Astyanax mexicanus: one gene and its partner. The protein of the gene in region 1 interacts with the protein of each later gene in a pairwise test. Links are inferred from orthologs where the notes say so. Each region holds a gene or a part of one and is shown on either strand. Other genes may lie near its edges.

Region 1 (10,377 bases):
CATAGAATTGAAATTACGTTACTCTCCTTCCCAATTTTACAGCAAGTACAGATAATGGATAATAAAGAAAAATAAAGAAAAAGGGGAGACACTATGTGTACAATACAGCAGCAGGGACACAGACATACATGAGACAGAACAAGGTGCAGTAGTGGTGGGGGTGAAATAGATATATAAATAGAAATAAAAAGAAATAAATATATAATCTAAATCTAAATGAGTGGGAGACACTATATGTACAATACAACAAAAACACAATAGACATTTGTGAGACAGAAGATAATAGTGCAATATTAATGGTGATTAAGATCAAGTGACAATATAAATAGAACCCGTATAACAGTAGTGCAATGTTGTATCTAGCTTAAGGCTGGTAAAGTTCTTAAAGTTCCCAGTTCTTGGGGAATTAAAGTGTGTATGACAGTGCAGCGTAACAGTAGTGCAGGTATTGGGTGTGTAGTGCAGGTCCTTTTACAAAAGTTACAGTACTGTGTGTGTTCTAGTGCAGAGTTCAGTACTGTGTTGGTGGGAGGATGTGGGGTCAGGATGATGAGAGTGTGTGTGCTGTGGGCAGGATTGGGATGGGGGGTAGAGCAGGAAGAGAGTTCAGCATCCTCACAGCCTGATGGATGGGGCTGTCTCGCAGTCTGCTGGTCCTAGACCCGAGACTCCGCAGTCTTCTCCCTGATGGCAGCAGGCTGAAGAAGCTGTGTAGTGGGTGGGAGGGATCTCCTGCCAGACAGAGGGCTTTCCGCGTGAGGCGGGAGCTGTACAGGTCCTGAAGGAAGGGGAGAGAGGTGCCAACGATCTTCTCAGCTGCTCTCACGATGCGCTGGAGGGTCCTGCGGCAGGATGCTGTGCAGGCCCCGTACCACACGGTGAAACAGCTGGTCAGGATGCTCTCGATGGCCCCTCTGTAGAAAGTGGTCATGATGGGGGTGGGGGCTCCAGCTCTTCTCAGCTTGCGGAGAAAGTAGAGACGCTGGTTTGCCTTCCTGGCCAGTGATGCTGAGTTGGTGCTCCAGGAGAGGTCCTCTGTGACGTGCACACCCAGGAACTTGGTGCTGCTCACCCTCTCCACAGCAGTTCCGTTGATGGACAGAGGAGTGTGCAGTGTGTGAGTTCTCCTGAAGTCCACAACAATCTCCTTAGTCTTCTCTGTATTCAGAGAGAGATTGTTGTGTTTGCACCAGGAGGCCAGGCGGCTCACCTCGCTCCTGTAGTGTGACTCATCGTTGTTGCTGATGAGACCCACCACCGTCGTGTCATCCGCAAACTTGACGAAGAGGTTGGAGGTGTGTTCTGGTGTGCAGTCGTGGGTCAGCAGAGTGAACAGGAGTGGGCTCAGTACACATCCTTGGGGAGCCCCTGTGTTCAGTGTGGTGATGCTGGATGTGTTGCTGCCAACCCGCACTGCCTGTGGTCTACCAGTCAGGAAGTCCAACAGCCAGTTGCACAGGGAAGTGCTCAGCCCCAGACTGTCCAGTTTGTGTATGAGCTGTTGGGGGATGATTGTGTTGAATGCTAAACTGAAGTCAACAAACAGCATTCTGACGTAGGTGTCTTTCTTGTCCAGGTGTGTGAGGGCTGAGTGGAGAACAGTGGAGATGGCATCATCGGTCGAGCGATTTGACCGATATGCAAACTGGTAGGGGTCCAGGGAGGAGGGGAGTGAAGACTTGATATGGTGCATGACTAGTCGTTCGAAGCACTTCATGAGGATGGGGGTGAGTGCAACCGGACGATAGTCGTTGAGACAGGATGGCGATGCCTTCTTAGGGACAGGGATGATGGTGGTGGCTTTGAAGCATGTGGGAACCACAGCCTGAATCAGAGAGGTGTTGTAGATGTCCGTATAAACCTCTGCGAGTTCCCAGGCACAGTCCTTCAGCACACGACCAGGAATGTTGTCAGGTCCAGGAGATTTTCGAGCATTGATCCTGCTGAATGCTCTCCTCACACTGTCTTGGGAGAGCGTTAGCACCTGGTCACCAGGAGGAGGGATGGATTTCTGGGCGGGTGTGTTGTTGAGTGGCTCGAACCTTGCGAAGAATCCATTCAGGTCGTTCAGCAGAGATGTGTCGCTGTTGCAGGTCTGTGGATGGGGTTTGTAGCCTGTGATAGACTGAATCCCTTGCCACAGGTTCCGTGTGTCTCTGCTGTCGCTGAAGCGTTGGGATATCTTCTTGGAGTACTGCCTCTTAGCTTTCCTGATGCCGCGGGACAGGTTGGCCCTGGCTGTCCTCAGGCCTGCCTGGTCTCCAGCTTGTGGACCTCTCCTGTCAGCCATGGCTTCTGATTAGCCCGAACAGTGATGGTCTTGAGGTCGGTTACATCATCAATGCACTTGGTGATGTAGGCAGAGACAGTTTCTGTGTACTCCTGAATGTCCGTGGAGTTGTTGTGGGTGGCAGCCTCTCTAAACATGTTCCAGTCTGTTGTGCTGAAACAGTCCTGAAGTGCCTCTGAGGAACCCTCTGGCCACACTCGTACCTGCTTCAGAACTGGTTTGGAGACTTTAACCAGTGGTCTGTAAGCTGGCACTGCTTATCTCTTGCAGAGCATCAAATAAACACTGACAAAATAAATATTATCAGACGTATTTGGTTGTGTTTTTGGCTTCATGAGGCCACTGTACAAATTCAAATGCATATATCCATGGAAACATGTTGGCTTTTTGTTCTTTACATTTATTTGGTGTGGTGTAAGACCCCCCATGTAGCATTTTTAGTACTACATGTATAGTTTTTCCCAAATGTTTAAACACATTTCTAGAAACTTGGCTCAGTTTCTCAAAACACAAACTGAAAATGATTAACTACTTTGTTGAAACTCCACAAATCTCTAGCAAAACTTATTCCTTCCACCAAAACAACACACACAGCTATTTATATGCTTATCTCTTGCAGAGCATCAAATAAACACTGACAAGATAAATACAGAGCACTATTATCAGACGTATTTGGTTGTGTTTTTGTCTTCATGAGGCCACTGTACAAATTCAAATGCATACACGGAAAACAATCACAGAATAATAACGCTTTGTAAAGTGGGCGAAACCAGGCAATACGCGGAACAGGTGTGTGCGCAATGTCCTTAAATCAGTACTCCGGACTTCCTGGAGGAAGCCGTGAGGTGTCACGTGAGTGTGTGTGTGTGATGTCAGCGGGTGGTGCGTTCTGGGTAGTGTAGTTGTTGGACTGCAAACCTTCGTTAAAGCTCGGTGTGGAAGAAACAGAAGCTTCTACAGCACCAGACGTGACAAATTGTGTAATCCCATATTATAATAACATAAGTTGTTACAATTGCATAATTCCATATTATAACAACTTGACCTCTTACGAAGGTGTAATTCCCCGTGAAAATGGCACAATTTATTACAATTGCTTAATTCCATATTATATAGTATTTTGTTTTACTGTTGCGTAATTCCATATTTTAATTTGTGACTTGTTACAAATGCATAATTCCACATCAAATTTCCACAACTTGTTATAGCTGCTTAATTCCATATTATAAGTATATAATTTGAAACAATTGCAAAATTCCATATATAACTACTTGACTTTTTACAGTTGCATAATTCCATATTATAATTCCTGACTTGATACAATCGTGTAATTTCATATTATAATTACTTTACTTGTTACAATTGAATAATTCCATGTCAAAATTCCACAACTTGTTATAGCTGTTTAATTCCATGTTATAATTACATAACTTGTTACAATTACAAAATTATTATTATTATCATTATTATTATCATTTATTTAATTGTTGTTAATTACATTCTAAAATATACTTTGAGTTTTATTAATAAAAACATAATTTTCTAGACGAGTGGTATTTTGTCAAAATATGACCTTACTGCCAGCAGACAATGAGACTAAATAATGAAGCTTTGACAACGTTGTGATAACCTTTTGCAGACAATGTAAACGCTGTTTGCTGGAAGATACTCATCATAATCCTCTGTAAAGTCACGTTTGGGACACTGGGGGGCAGCAAAGACCCAAATTACAACCCCAAACTTTACAGAAACCCTCTGTTCCCACACCGGCATCTTCATCACACTGACTCTGCTCTTCATCACACATCCAGCTCATCTCTACTGTCCTTCTGGAAACATTATGAGAACATTATGTCCTTTAGTCTCAGTACAGCCAGGGTTTAGTCTAAAGGCTTGTTTTATAAAGGGGTTCCTCGGTTGACGTCTACAGGTTTCCACTCATCCACGCGATTTTTTTCAGCAACAGCAGTAGTGCTCGCTTCCCACCCGTTTCCGGTAAGCCACGCCTCCCACGCTGTGATTGGATAGAAGAGGGAGTTGAAGTTTAAACCATCCTCTAATAAATGTACTGTAGAGGTAATAAATGTTCCAGGGCAAATAAACTACGATTACCCAGAAACTTCTAGAACTGCGTTTTTAAAGATCCAATATCTGATATTTTTAACATTTCTAATTTTTACTTACACAATGTCTGTTTATACATAATAAACAGTCGTGATTCATTTTTTTCTCTGAATAACTTTTCCTGTGCAACAGGAATACAGATTAGAATATTACTCAATTAGGGCTTTTCACGTTATACAACCTGTATAAAAAAAAAAAAAAAATAATAAAATCTCCTTGAATCCTGTACCTCTTCACAACTTTACAACTGATGCTCTCAAACACATTAAGATGACAAAACATTAGAGTAATTACTGTTTGACAAGCTCAGCACAGCTGTTAACTGAAAGCTATTCCAAGCTGCCATCTAAACAAGAGGTGCCATTTGGAAGAATCTAAAATATAAAACATATTCTGGTTTGTTTAACACATTTTTGATTAATAAATATTAGATTTTTATTTTGTACTTTGGATGACTTTATTGACTGTATTACTCTACAATGCAGAAAATGTTTTATTTATTTATTTATTTATTTATTATTTAAATATTATTATTTATATATATTTTTTTTATTATTATTGTTAATTTTGTTTTGACAATCATAAAATTGGAAAACAAATGAAATCTATCTATCTATATAAGGAATATATTATTCAGCCTTAAGCTTTTATACCTCTATGTTTGCACTAATGTTTATATGAGTCCTGTTCATACTGGTACTGTCATTCCCTCTTTAATCACCCCCATCACTATTGCTCTATTGTCTTGTGTCTCTTGTCTTGTCTCACGTATGTTTGTATCTGTGACCTTCTGTGACCTTGTTATACTGTACATTAAGTGTCTCTCATTATTTTATTTATATATTTTATCTTGCTGTACTTGTTGTAATAGCAAGGAAGGAGAGTAACGTAATTTCAGTTCTCTGTATGTCCGGTACATATGCAGTATTGATAATAAAACTACTTGACCTGACTTAAAATTCATCCTGATTTGAGGTTCAGGTAACACTGATGCTACAACGTTAGCTTTCAGGCTGTGGTTGCCACGGCAACGCGCGAGACCTCTCTCACTGTCCAATAGGCGGCCGACTTGTAAATTTGAACCGCTCACCATTCAGAGGCGAGAGGCGGGACGTTCCTGGCCAATCGCAACGCAGGGGGCGAGGATAGAGGAAAACGGGTGGATTAGTGAAGAAATAACAGTATAGAGCCACCGAGACATGCAGCCAGCAGCAACAGCAGCGGCGGAGCGTTCAGCACTCATTCAGAGAGGAGCCCGGCTGCTGTGATTCCTGGGCAACCTGCGAAGGATTATTTTACATTTCTGAGCTGTTGAAACTTTTTTCGGACTCTCCGCTGCTCAGTTCTGCTTTTCAGGATGTCTGTAGCGGGCTTGAAGAAGCAGTTTCATAAAGCCAGTCAGGTAAGGAGACGCCCCTAGTTCCGTTCTGTTGTTTTCAGAACAACTTCATGATCTTTAGCTTTTGTTTTCAAACATTTAGCAGTTTATTTTACCCCCCATTCAGTAAAACACTCCGCCTCAGCTGCTGTGTGTAGATGGTAGAGTAGCTCAATGGTGTGCTGCTCCAGTTGTTTTCTTCAGGCTGAAGCAGCAGCAGAGATGCGCCATGCAGTTGTTGTTTTCTTCTAAAACCTACTTTACAATGTTTTTTTTATTACATAATAAAAATAAAATACGTTCACAAAACGAAGAGTTCCTCTGTTTCTACTCTTATTTCTCTTCTAACGCCACGTTCATGTGTTTTTTCTTGGCTCTGCTCTCACTCTTTTGTTGATTATTAGCTGTGTTAGCTAGCTCCAAGCTACACAATGAGAAGATAGGACTATTTAACGTTACATCTTCAGCATTATGGCTAGTGTTAGCTTTGTTCATGTTATGTTGGATGTTGTTCACCTTGTCTAGCCCTGAGCTTCAACAGGAGAGCAGTTTTGGGGGGATGAGTATAGAATAAGCTGATTGTCAGTGCATAACTGAAGCTGAACACCATTAAATCCATCATCATGACCACAATCAAGCCACCTACACACACAGGCCTGAAGAGATGAGAACAGAGGGAGCATAGCTAACCTAGCTGCTCCTCACCACTTCTTTACAGCTTTCAGATTCTCTAAAATGATTAAAACACTGATAAAACAGTTATTTTGTGCTGCAGAATTGCCACTATTAATACTATATTCATGATCTAAATTCAGTTATGGAGTAAAAGATATGGCTGTATTTTCTAAACAGGTGGTTTTCCATCCTCAAGGTTTTTGTGAATTTTGAAAATAACAACAGAAAACACGTAAATATCTTTAAAATGTATTTTTTTTTTCAGAATTTCACTCACACCAAATTGCGAAAAGTAGCAGGAACATCTTGTTCATGTACTCTTTGTAGCTCTGCTCTCACTCTTTTGTTGATTATTAGCTGTGTTAGCTAGCTCCAAGCTTCACAGTGAGAAGATGGGACTGTTTACATCTTCAGCATTATAGTGTTAGCTTTCTTCATACCTTGTTGGATGTTGTTTTCGGTGCATTAATGAAGCTGAACACCATCAAGTCCATCATCATGACTAGCATCATACCACCTACACACACACAGGCCTGATGAGAACAGAGGAAGCATACCTAACCTCATTATTTCTTTACAGCTTTCAGATTCTCAAAAAATATATAAAATACTATGAGATATACAACGGTTAAAGTGGACAATGTGCTGTAGAATTATCACAATAAACATGATGCTTCTTTTTATGATGCTTCTGATCAGGTCCTGTTATATATTAAGCACAACATATGGCTTTCACTTTTCTTATGGAGAAGCTTGTCCATTTTTCTTTCTACTGAAAAGCAGAGCTATCATACTGGACTATTTTAATATTCTTAAGTCCTACTTGGACGGGATTAGTTTTTCAGGGGGTCTTGGGGTAATTTTATAGGGGGTCCTCTGTGATTTTATTCCCGTCCGAAACGACCATGTATGTGTTTTTCTCAGATGTCCTTATAGAATATTACAGGATGCATTGCCTACTGTTTTTCACCAAACCCCATCCAGACAGACTAAGTTTTGAGTTTTGTCTCCTCACGTTTAACAAAATAGCTTTTTGTCCACTGCCACGCACATTTCTACAGAAATCCACACAAACACAACAGCAACTGGAAATGGAGGAGCTACTGATCACGATGTGATGTGACCGAGAAAGCCAAAAAACTCACTGGTCCTCTTATTTTTTCAATATTAGTTCGGATGCAACAGTTTTATCACTTGAGTAGAAGTGTGGGAAAAAAAAATCACAGACATCCCTATTTGAAACTAATCCCATCCAGATAGGGCTTTAAACAGACTGAAAGTCTGTTATAATATCTTCAAGCTGCATTCAACATGGATTAATGTGTAATTAACTAGTTGATAACATGTAAAGACAGATCACAATACATGATAGATACGTAGATTCAGGGCTCTAACAACAGCAGACCTGACACAAACAGCATGTTTTCCACCCACAAAGTTTTTTTAATATTGAAAATGTGCAAAAATAAAAGTGGAAGAAAAAAGGCTGAAAAACACTCAAATATATATAAATGATTACACTAGAATGAGGATGAAAATCAGAATATTACTCAAGCAAAATTGCAAAATATAAACACCTTGTTTATATGCTCTTTGTGGTTCTGCTCTTACTTTTTTGGTGATTTAGCAGTTACCTAGCTCCAAGCAACACAATGAGAAGATGAAATTAGTATAATGGTACCACCTTTGTTCATGTTGTTGGATGTTCATCTTTTCTGGCTTTGGACATAAACAGGAGAGCAGTTTTTAGGATATATGTGGAGTTAACTGGTTTCTCTGTACAAATTAAATTAATTATCGTTATACTACCTACTTACAGGCCTGTAGAAATGAGAACAGAGGGTGCCTAGCCAAACTAGGTGCTCCTCATGACATCTTTGGCTGTCAAAACTCATAAAAAATAAATAAATAAAAAAACCTGTGGGGTCATTGTAGTGTTGGTAACTAACACCACAATACATTCTATAAATATGTGTTTTTAAAGAACCGGTGGCTCAGAGTAAACAGAAAGGTTTAACAAGCATGCAGGGTCTAGGATCCATCTGGATCCATCTGGTCATCTTGTTGTAGGAAGGAAATGATGGCTTGCAGGTGGCCTAAGAGCCGAGCAGGAGCAGGTGTGGTGGATGTCATTTGGCAGGATCTGTCTTCTCCTGTGGAGGTGATGGTAGGGGCTGTTGGTGTAGGACAGTGTGGCAAAACATGGCATCAGTGTGTCAGACTAGGGTTTGTTTCCCTAGCCAGGTAAGACAGGTATCAGGTAGGGCATCGTCCCACACAGCTTGTTTTATTACGGTAAACACGCAGACTACAGTCTGATATACTCAGCTCTGGACAGCGAAAGAGCTAAGGCTGCGGTTAGCGCTATTGCTAATGCTGCTGCACCCAGCCTTAGTGCTGGAGAAACTTCACTGAAAACGAACCCACGCTTATAACGCTGTTCTTCAGAGGAGTGGCTTTACTGTTCTTTAATACCTGACTGGTAGAATTCATACATAAGGCACACTGGATTATACAACACACTGTCAAGTTTTGGGAAAACCAAAGAATTTTAAGTGCACCTTATAGTGCAAAAATTTTATGAAAATGTTAAGTGCATCTCTGAAAAATAAACAGGGGCCTTTCCCTGCCCAGTTTGGTTAAACACAACATAATCTCCAGTGCTACACTGACAACAGTAGGTTTAGGGTTGGCATATGGGGATTAAGTGTGGACAGTGATTATGGGCTGCAGAATGACCACTATAAAACAGTATTACCATTATCCCGACTTAATTATAAAGTACCACATATGGTTCTATTTTCTACACTGGACGTCTTTACTGTTCTTTTGGAAGAGTGGGTTTATTTTTCTCTACTGGACAACAGAGGTAACATACTGAACTCCGCATTTTTTTCAAACAGACTGAATTAGTGATTTATACCTTGACAACAAATGTCACCAGTTAGAAATCCAAAGACAATATATGGAACTAAACAATAAAATGGAGCTTTAACCATAAGTGCAATTTGTAACTTAAATTGTGCAGCAAATCTTTTTTTCCAACAAAGATCCTTTTAGATTACTAGATCTTTTTAGCGTTCCTTAAATCCCTAATTCAAAGCAACTGTACATCTGTCGTTAAGTTTAATAGTTGGTGGATTAACTCCATCCTTGAATATGCTATTCTTTGTTCCTCCTATTTTTTTGGGAATTACTACAATTGCTCCTACAAAGATACTATGATACTGTTGTGCCCTGAATTTTGCAGTTGAAGCTGTGTTTGGTTGTTTTTTTGTAGTTTAGTGTATTTGGCATTCTCAAAGCATTCCCACACTAGCTAGCCATCTATATGCATTCACACTTGTAGGATTGTGCACATACAGCTCTGGACCACTATAGTGTCTGAATCAGTTTCTCTGATTTTTCTATTTATAGGTATATGTTTGAGTAAAATAAACAAGTTCATATTCATAAAGTTTTAAGAGTTTAGAAATCAATATTTGATGGAATAATACTGGATTTTAATTACTGTTTTCTTGCATCTTGGCATGTTCCCCTCCACCAGTCTTACACACTACTTTTGGATGACTTTATGCCTGCACTCCTGGTACAAAAATCAGGCAGTTCAGCTTGGTTAGATGGCTTGTGATCATCCATCTTCCTATTTTCCATTATATTCCAGAGGTTTTTAATTTAGTATAATCAAAGAAACCTTTTCCATTTGAAGTGGTCTCTTGTTTTTTTTTTTTTTACTACACTTTGCAACCCTGCTCTCATGCTGAAATACTACCCGTACCATGTTTGACATATTGTTAAATGCCTTGAACAAATTGAACTCGAACAAAATGTTGGTATCTTAGTTGTATGATGATGCAAAACATTCCGTCTAATTATGGTACTCTAATTTGCCTTTCCTGCATGATGAGTG
Region 2 (9,981 bases), on another chromosome or scaffold:
TGTTTTCATTCCCATTATACAGGTGCTGGTCAACGAATTAGAATAATTTGAAATAGTGCAATCATGAAATTCTTTGAATGCATTTTTTGTGCAGAAAGCAAATCAGGTGTTTACCGCACCTGTCCTACTCGTTAGACTAATCACAGAACTCGTTACCTGGAAAAAAAATTTGCTCAGCTGAGCTTTCCAAAAGGCCCGTTTAGGCCATTTAACTGTGACACTGTTGTTTTATTGAATTAGAATAATGGAGAAACAGTTTCATTGAATTAGAATAAATGCTCGAATTTTTGTTTTCTGTGAAGAGTGTTCACTGTGCAGTATAAAGTCAGGGTTGAGTAGAATTTCTAAGTTGTAAAAATCAATCATGGGTAAGCAGCGCGACCTCTCAACCGGAATAGTGGCTCAAATTCAAGCCCTTCGCCAACAAGGCTTGACCCAAACTAAAATTGCTGAGCAGCTCGGCATCAGCCAGTCTTCCGTCTGCAAAGCTCTCAAGAAAAACTGCAGCAAGCGCACCAACTGTTCCGGCGTCCGAAAAACTTCTGCTCGCGACAACAAGCAGCTGAGAAAGATCGCAGTCAGCAACCGGTTCAAGTCCACTTCCGAGCTCACCGACTTGTGGAACAAGCAGACCGGCGCTGACGTCTCCAGATCAACCACTTACCGTGGTCTGCGCGAACTCGGCTTCAAATCTCGCGTTCCAGCAGTAAAACCGATGCTGAACATGGACTGCTGAAGACTGGCAGAAAGTGGTCTTCAGTGACGAATCACGCTTCTGCATCTCCTTCGGTGACCAAGGTCCTCGTGTCTGGCGTCGTGGTGGCGAAACCTACAACCACGAGTGCGTGAAAAGATCCGTCAAGTTTCCCCAGAGCGTTATGGTCTGGGGATGCATGTCCGCTCGAGGTGTAGGGAAACTCTGCTTCCTCAAGAAGACTGTCAATGCTGCCGTATATCAAGATGTTCTGGAAACGTTCCTGATTCCGACTGTTGAGGAACAGTTCGGCGAAGAAGACTTAATATTTCAACAGGATCTTGCACCGGCTCATGCGGCAAAGTCGACCAAAGATTGGTTCACTAAAAAACAGCTTGAAGTTTTGGCATGGCCGGCCAACTCGCCTGACCTCAATGTCATTGAAAACCTTTGGGCCATCGTCAAGCGGAAAATTCGCGACAGAAAGCCTACTACGCTGGACCAACTGAAGCAGAACATCGCCACTGCCTGGGAAGCTGTGAGTGCGGAAACTTGCGACAAGCTGGTCAAATCGATGCCGCGGAGACTTCAGGCAGTCATACAAGCCAAGGGGGCAGCCACAAAATACTGAGAAAGTGATGATTGTAATTATAATAAAAATTATTCTAATTCAATGAAACGGTTTCTCCATTATTCTAATTCAATAAAACAACAGTGTCACAGTTAAATGGCCTAAACGGGCCTTTTGGAAAGCTCAGCTGAGCAAAATTTTTTCCAGGTAACGAGTTCTGTGATTAGTCTAACGAGTAGGACAGGTGCGGTGAACACCTGATTTCAAATTATTCTAATTCGTTGACCAGCACCTGTATATCTACTAGAGACAGATTATATCTGTCCAGTATCATTTATTTTACTTTAATCCTGGATTTATGGAAATATATGGAGTGCATTATTATTAGCATTATGACATTCTGGAACATTGACTTCTGCCAACAAATCTGATAAAATTCTTGTATTTTTTAATATCTCAGTTAGGGGTGAGCCATTTCATCTCTTATGCAATAATATAATGTAATTTTTATTTTGTTGCATTACTGTATTCTCGAAATATATATATTTTTAATTCAGTGTTTAAGCATATCGCTAAGAGTATCGTTATCGTAAAAATACCATAAAATATTGTGATATCATTTTTAATTTTCATATCGCTCAACCTTACTACAAGCACAAAGCTTAGACATAGGTCCAATATGTATGTATATACATATATAACATGTGTTTCCAACTCTAGTTTGTCTTGTTAGACATCATACTGTATGAAAACAGATCAAAAATCTCATAAAAGGCCTACAATCAATCTAAAAATGCCATAAACAACCATACTTATTACTCCTTTTGACCTTCAGTCAATCAAGGCCTTTTATAGAAGGTCACACCACTCTATAATGGATCATTTTCCAAAGGTCAAAGTGAGACAAGGACTTGAACAAAGCAATGCAGGACTAAATAAGTTATCAAACAAGCTCGGTGATGGATGATACTGACAAAAAAAGATGCAATAAACACTGTTGGAAATCTCAATATTCATGTAGCTTGCCTCTGAAACTGGGCCTTAAAACTAAATAGCTCTTATCTTAACATTGTTAAGAGAAATGGTGATATACACAATATGGTGAAAAACTTAAAGTATAAGGTTACAAAGTGTTAAAAGTACTTGTAAGACTGGATATTTAAAAATGTATTAATATTAAACAATGCTGCTCCTTTAGTTTTGATGTTTCTATGACACAATTAGCACAATATTGTACTGTATTGAGTGTCACCACTTCAGAAACCAAACCATTTTAACACAATATTATATTGCACACATCGAAAACAATATCATTTTGTATGAATCTTGTACCAGACAGTTTCAAGCACACTGATCTTTAAGATATATTTAGCTCTGGAAAAAAATAATAGAGCACTTAAAAATGACGAGTTTCTTTGATTTTACCAAATTGAAAACCTCTGGAATATAATCAAGAGGAAGATGAATGATCACAGGCCATCAAACCACCAAACTGAACCAATTTTCTCCAAATAAATGCTCCAAATTAAAATATTTTTATTTGGAGTTTGGGAGAAAAGTCAGTAGTTTATAGAATAAAACAAGAATGCTATATGATCATTTTTTATCATTTTACTTTATAAATAGCAAAATCAGAGGAACTGATACAGAAACTGAAGTGGTCGCTTAACTGTTTCCAGAGCTGTATATTGCCCAGTCATACCTTCATTTAAATTGTTTAGGTAGGTAATGCAATTAGATTTTCAAAGATTCTTTGATAGACAATATAAAGATATAGCAATAACTGTGATAACATTTATCTCTAAAATGGGGTTAAAGGCAGATCAAAGTCCAATTAAAACAAACAAACAAAACACACATTAATCTAGAAATGTCTTATAATAGCTGATACACTAGATCAAAACACATTAGCATCATTAAGTTCCACTGTAAAAAAAAAAAAAAACAAACAAACAGCACAATACACAGAAGAGGAGATAGCTAGCTAGATAAGAAGTGCACTATAAACTGAATAAGAGGCCAAAGCAAATCTACAAATCAACCCAAAAGCTAAAAACTGACTGAGTTTAGGCACAATTTGCAATAAAATGCATCTTGCTGCAGATTTTTTTTAACCTTGGTCCTAAAGGTGACAAGGAGCTAAGCTTTACCTTATTCAAACACAAATGATGCAATTAAGTTAGCTAAAGAAGGTGTGTTAAAGCAGGGAAAGCAATAAAATGTGCAGGGCAGCCTATGAGCCTTCAGGACCACTTTTCAGTAACACTGATTTAAGGCATTTAACTTAACATGTGTTTGTGGCCTGCACCGGATCAAAGAATTTTAAGTGTGCCTTAAAGTCAGAAAAATATGGAAAATGTATTTAAATATAGCTAGGCCTCTAACGATAATTACATTATCGACTTATCGTAAAATAATGGACACAACCTGATATTTGATAATTGTGATATCATCTATTGCGTTTATTTGTACGTTTTCTATTGTATAGAACAGTGAACAATATTTTAGCCAGTCATGCAATACCAGACCAATGCTTCAATAACTTTGACTCCATACACAGTATAAACTGAAGTAATTTAATAAAATAAAAATAAGTATAATACTATGATTAATTGCAAATTTTGTTTTGCTATCTTTAACATGCTGTCAGTGGCATTAAAATGACCTTAAAATGACAGTAATACTGTTTATTGCAATAGTTTTTGAGACAATGTCAAGCAGAAAATACAGCACATTTATCAATACAGAAATATATACACACTGCCTGGCAAAAAAAAAAACTTGACTTAACTGAGCAAATAGGTAAAAGACTCTCATTGGATTATTATTACTGCATTATAATAACTGGATTATAATTACTATAATTACGGCAACAAGTTACTGGATTTAATCCTAACTGATGCAGGGAGTAGCTTCTCATTTGTTAAAACAACCACGTGGAAAAGATAATAAAGTTAATATGTTTCAGAAGGGTCAATTTATTGGCACCAATAATGCAGAAAAAACATCTAAGGAAATTGTAGCTGAAAATACTGATTGGCCGCCACCTGAACGCCATTAAGACTCTTTGGCCAGGCAGTGCAAAACCATATATAAGTACTAAGTACATAGCATTTGAAGTTAGAAAATAAACCACAGAATAAACAGAAGCTAAATGGTCAAAACATCGCCTAATCGCATCACAGCAGTCCAAAAACAGCGTGTCTTTCGCTACAAACTCAGCTAGCTAACAAACAAACTATTTAACTGAATATCTACCTAGACCAATCAAAGAACACGTACATTATGCAGTTAAATGAATTTTTTATAAGTCCTACACGGGATTTAATGCCTAAAAAATGTTAAAAATGACCTCAAACAGAGACAAAAACAAGCAAGTCAATTCCAGCAGCTAGCCTAGCTAAACTAGCCATAGCTCGTATGCTAAGCTAAGCTAACTAACGGTCGCCCCAGCAACGGCACAGCTTCTTTAACCCGCAATTTAAGCCGTTCTGCAGCTTTATAACAGATTTACAGAATATTTACCTGGTCCGGGGCGCTTTCTGCGGACATTATTAACCTGCAGCGTTTATTATTTGTAAGATTTCCAGCCTGCAGATCCTCACAGGCTCCTAAAATGGCGAGCTCCCTCACCCCCGCTCTCACCGGACGCATGCGCAGACACATACAGAGAAACAGAGGGAAGAGGCGGGGTTTTGTTTGCCAGTTTTTGTATACCTTATTAAATTTTAATTTATCTCAAATTTAGTTTGTAACTCAAAAATAGTCATTTTTATATGGTCTCAGCAAGATATCTAAGCTCACAGAAAAAAATCTTTATTAAAAAAAATATTATATTCTGGTTAAACCGCAGGACTTTTAATTTCGCAGATCTACAAGTCATTCCCACTAAAACAATGGGTGAAGACATGATTTTTAAATCGATTAAAAGAGGTTAAATATTAACAATTCTACATGACTCTAGTGTATGGAAGCATAGATATCAAATACGTATATATATATAAGATATCTATGAATAGAATTCCCATTCCTGCCACCTAAAATATAAAATAAATCCAGCACATTTGTTTTATTATTATTAAGTAACTGCTGTCTCAGTATTTTGACATAGTAAGTCATAATTTTAAATGAACGAGTTAATGAATAAATGAAAGAATGCATTTTATTATGACTATAGCAAGTACAGTGAAATTAGAGGAGCTCATCTCACAGTGCAACATATACAATATAAAAATAAATAAATATGTACTTGCAGTGTAATAAAAAAACAGTTCTCGAATCTGTCTGTGTCCTTGAATAAGTTAAGGAACTTATTCATTATTTTTAGATAGATAGATATTATCTCATTATGTTCAGATCTTATTATCTCAAAATAATGACTTACTATCCCTGAAAATGACAAATAAAGAACTATAAAATACACTTAATATTCACGTTTAAATAATTAATTAAATAATGTCTCGATTATTTATTTATCAATTTATTCATATAATTAACTCATTTTAATTTAAACTATGTATTTCTCACTTAAATGAATTTTTATGTTTTCTTTTATTTATTTATATTATATTTTCACTAAAAAATAGAGTAAACATCTTATAGATAGTATAGTTTTTTTTTTAAAGATTATTAAAGTATTAAAGAATACTGTTTTTTTTTTTTTTATAATAAACTAATTTTCATGGATTGAGTTTATTATTTTTGATCAGGCGGTTGTTTGGGGCGCCGCTGGGTGATTTTGCTGCCGGCGCGCCGCTGGACCGTCCTTTTCCTCCATCTTTGTTATCGTATCAGGCAGGTAAATCCCGGCACGGGTTCATAATTTATCAATTTCTTACTGTTTTTAGAGGGAATTAAGCTCTAATATTAATCTCAGCGCGTAGATAAGCGCTTTATCTTTATCCAGCGCTTGGGTTTATCGTGTTTCATGGCGGGATGGTGCAGATTTGGAGCGGATTGTTGGGCAGAGCTGCTGAGGGAGCGGGCGGGTTTCCTCCGTTACTGACAGAGTTTCAGTGATTCAGTTTAATATTAAACGGGTTTAAACGCTGAATTACTGATGTAACTCTGCTGTTTCTGTGTTTTAGCGCTGTAGAATATATTATGCTGGGGTTATATGCTGCTGTTTTGCTGCTAATGGCTATAGAAGTGGAGTTATTCTTGGTTATAACGTGTCTGAACTCTGTATTCTAGTTTAACTTCACATGCATACTGAATAAACAGTAACTAGATCTTTAATTTTAGCTCCTAGATCTAATTAAATCTGCTCTGATGACCAAACTACAGTCTAATTTAAGTATAATTGTGTCAGCTGTTGGTCTGTGTGTTTATTGGCTGTTTTAAGAAGCTGTGAGACATTTTATTAAAGCTTTCTCCCTTTAAATCTTCTCATTTTATGTCTTTATTCTTGCTTCAAAGGTTTCAGAGCCTGGGCGAGAAATAAGTCACAATGCCTGGAAGGTGAGTAGCTTCTTAAACTGCATGTTGGAGGTTTTGGTGAAGGTAGTGTGTGTGTATAGACCTGTTCCTAGTTGCAGCTGCAGTTTGGTGAAATTGTGCACAGTGTAAGTGTATTTTTGAAGTTTAAGTCAAATAAAAAGTACGAAGATAAAAGTAACACGGTATCCTCAATGTCCAAAGAAAAACGTCTCTCCAAAATATTGTTTATAGAATGGAAGGCAAGTGTTCTTAACTTTCATTTAGTGTTTGATGATGTGGCCAACATTTTTCATGATTTCTTTATTTTTGTCGCTCACTTTGGTGTAATTAACCTCAAGTCCCAAACTCATGCTTGGTGTGAGTTTATAATTTGAAATTAGTAGGACCTAAACTCAACTTTGTCTTGGTACACATTAGCTATGTGCTCAAGTTTACTTAAATTAAGTTTTTGAAAGTATCCTTGACATTTGGGATCAGAAGGAACCGATTATTCCAAAAGCTAAATGTTGGCTTTCTACTGTAAGTTAATAAACTTGTTTCGAACGTAAAATTTTATTTTGCTGTCTGTAGAAACTTTTGACTGGGATTCTTGTCATAAATGATGATCTTGTGATGCACAGAGAAAAAAATACAGCATCAGGAGTCCTAAAAAGTCAGATTCTTAGTTAATCGGGGTAGTTTACACACTGTAACAAACTCTACAGTTGGAGGATCAGTTTGAAATTTTGGCCATATATGATCAGCTGCAGGGTTATACACTATATAAAACCCAAAAGTGAAGATGCATGTTTTTTATTGGACAGCAGTGCTTCATTATAATTCCGTTGGTTAAATATTGAATTATATAAATTTGCAATGTTTTTCATCTGCTGTGTACATTGTTGTATATTGTTGTGATTGGCTCTTGTTAACACTTGATTATTGGGCCTTTTGCTGCTGTTAAAAATTTTGTAATTAATTTATTTTACTTCATCTGGAGGTTTTTGTGAGCTCTAAATTTAGGTTTTGTTCTGTTGCTTTGTTTTTGGTAGTTTGCGTCAATGCTTTCTGAATAGCCACATTACATATGTTTTTTATTTGCATTCATAAAATTACAGATGTTGAAGTGAAGGCTATGTACTGATTTAAGTATTTGTTGTAAATCATTTGGAAAAGAAGGGAAGTGTAACTGAAGTTTATTATCTCAGTAAATCACCAGATATTGCTTCTTCTGATGTACTGTGTTGTACTGTTCAGTGTGTAACGAAAATTTATTTTGGGTTAATTTCAAATTTTTTTAATTTAAATTGTGTGAAGTTCTGTAGTAAATGAATGAAAATTTATATATATATATATATAATGTTTAAATGTATGAATGATTATAATAATTGTTGGTAAAGCTTGGGAATGCTCAGCCTGTGGCTGTTTTCTGTTTTTAGGTTGTGGTGCAAAGCTATCTTCGCTGGATACAAGCGCGGTCTGAGGAACCAGCGTGAGCACACTGCTCTGCTGAAGGTTGAGGGAGTCTACACTCGACAGGAGGTCGACTTCTACCTGGGCAAGCGCTGCGCCTATGTCTACAAGGCAAAGAAGTAAGCAGCTTGTCTTCAGCGCTATGCATTAATCTCAACACTCAACCCTGGCAGACTAAATTCTTTGAATATAAAAGCATCAGCTGCTGGAGCCCTGAGAGAGCACAATTGTCCTTGCTCTCTCTGGGTGGGTACAGTAGATGGTGCTCTTTCCCCTCATTACTTATAGGGTGATGTGGATCAGCACAAGGCTGCGTCTGTGAGCTGATGTATCAGAACCGAGTGTTAGCGCTGTGATGCTACTTAGCAATGCTGCATCAGCAACAGTTCAAAAAGAGGCGGCGGAGGAGGCTAATATTAAATTTACAATGTAAAAAAATCATAAAGTAACAACGCATTAAGTTAAGTTGGGGCCGAACATTAAATTTGGTACTGTATATAAGGGCTCTGTTATTGATGTGTTGGTCGTTGCGTGACTGACAGTATTGCTGGTGATGAGCAGAAATGATTGAGGTCACGTCCATATTATAAGTCAATAACGTAATTGTGAAAGGACTAGCAGCACACTGTCCCTGTATATACAGTATTTACGCTTCCAGGCTTTAACCACACACAGCTGCCTTAACTGCTGCAGAGTTTTCTCTCATTCTGCTCATTAAAATACGTATATGGTGATAATACAGCATCAGCAATGACAGATTATTAGAAATTACTATTCAGTGCTTGAATGCACAGTGTTTTTTATTCAGTTTTTGCTTCAAATCCAGTTCTAAAGGATGTATTACACAAAAATACAGTTGATATGCTCGGTAAAGCATGTCAAAAAAAAAGTATGACTGATAACATAGTGCCCAGTTCTATATAGGAGTAGGACAAAATGGTTATTGCGATATATTGTATGCTTTATTTGCTGTGCATTATTGATATGTGGCATTAAAAGTGTGTGTATTTTTATAGCAGTGCAATCAACATGCATTATAAAAACTTTATTTTCCCAATTTTCTCCCTTTGCATTGAATTTCTCATTTTATCTCATTTTAATGAATAGACTAATAACACAAACACAGCAAATCATTTAAAAGCATTTGTCAAAGGCCTCAATGTATCTTCACACCGTATCTACATACTTATTTAGCTTTGACTGTTTTTTTTTAGTTGGAAGAAATATTTCAAGAATGGTTCCCATATTGTATAAAATTTACTGGAATTACCTCTTAGTAAAAATCTGTGTTTGTTTTTTCACTACATAATTCCTGGTATTTAGTTATTTAGGAGTATTTTATCCTCTTCAGTAACAGAGATGCTGTAAAGCATCGTAGAGAATTGTTTTGATATATCGAGCATCACAGAATCAAAGTATTGTAAGATTATCGTGGGCAGTGCATCAGTATATTATATTGTGATATGCCCGGTGATTCCCACCGCTAGTTCTAAATAGCAAATTAGATTTTATCCAAGTTATTGCTGTAAAAATAGAGATATAAATATTATGAGCTAAGATAAATGATCAAAATAAATCTAATTTTAGGCAAATGTTAAGCCATTAGTTTTTTTTACTACGTATTGTGCTTGATTAAATTTATAAAGATCAAAAAGGTACAGTCTGAAGATTTAGCTTGTTTTACCCTATACCAAACACCTTTTTTTTGTATAATGTGTGGAAAGAACTACACATTCTTAATCTTTATTCTAATCTATTCCACTGCTTTACCCTGCTGACAAATACACATTTAAAAAAATATATTTTTCCTTGCTCTTTATTCTGA

What was found.
Region 2: the proteins of sh3gl3a (region 1) and rpl35a interact in a two-hybrid assay, tested with the Homo sapiens proteins (2 studies listed by BioGRID and IntAct). The link is inferred for Astyanax mexicanus from reciprocal best matches to the Homo sapiens genes SH3GL3 and RPL35A.

The regions. Positions count from the first base shown.
Region 1 is NC_064423.1:11,393,187-11,403,563, forward strand, and holds the start of sh3gl3a (endophilin-A3a), read left to right. Parts: upstream 1-5,588; 5' UTR 5,589-5,771; coding exon 5,772-5,816; intron 5,817-10,377. UniProt on the Homo sapiens protein: Implicated in endocytosis. May recruit other proteins to membranes with high curvature.
Region 2 is NC_064416.1:4,692,065-4,702,045, forward strand, and holds the start of rpl35a (60S ribosomal protein L35a), read left to right. Parts: upstream 1-5,982; 5' UTR 5,983-6,063; intron 6,064-6,683; 5' UTR 6,684-6,714; coding exon 6,715-6,725; intron 6,726-8,122; coding exon 8,123-8,275; intron 8,276-9,981. Other genes in the region: cstf3 (cleavage stimulation factor subunit 3), read right to left, coding at 4,791-4,817.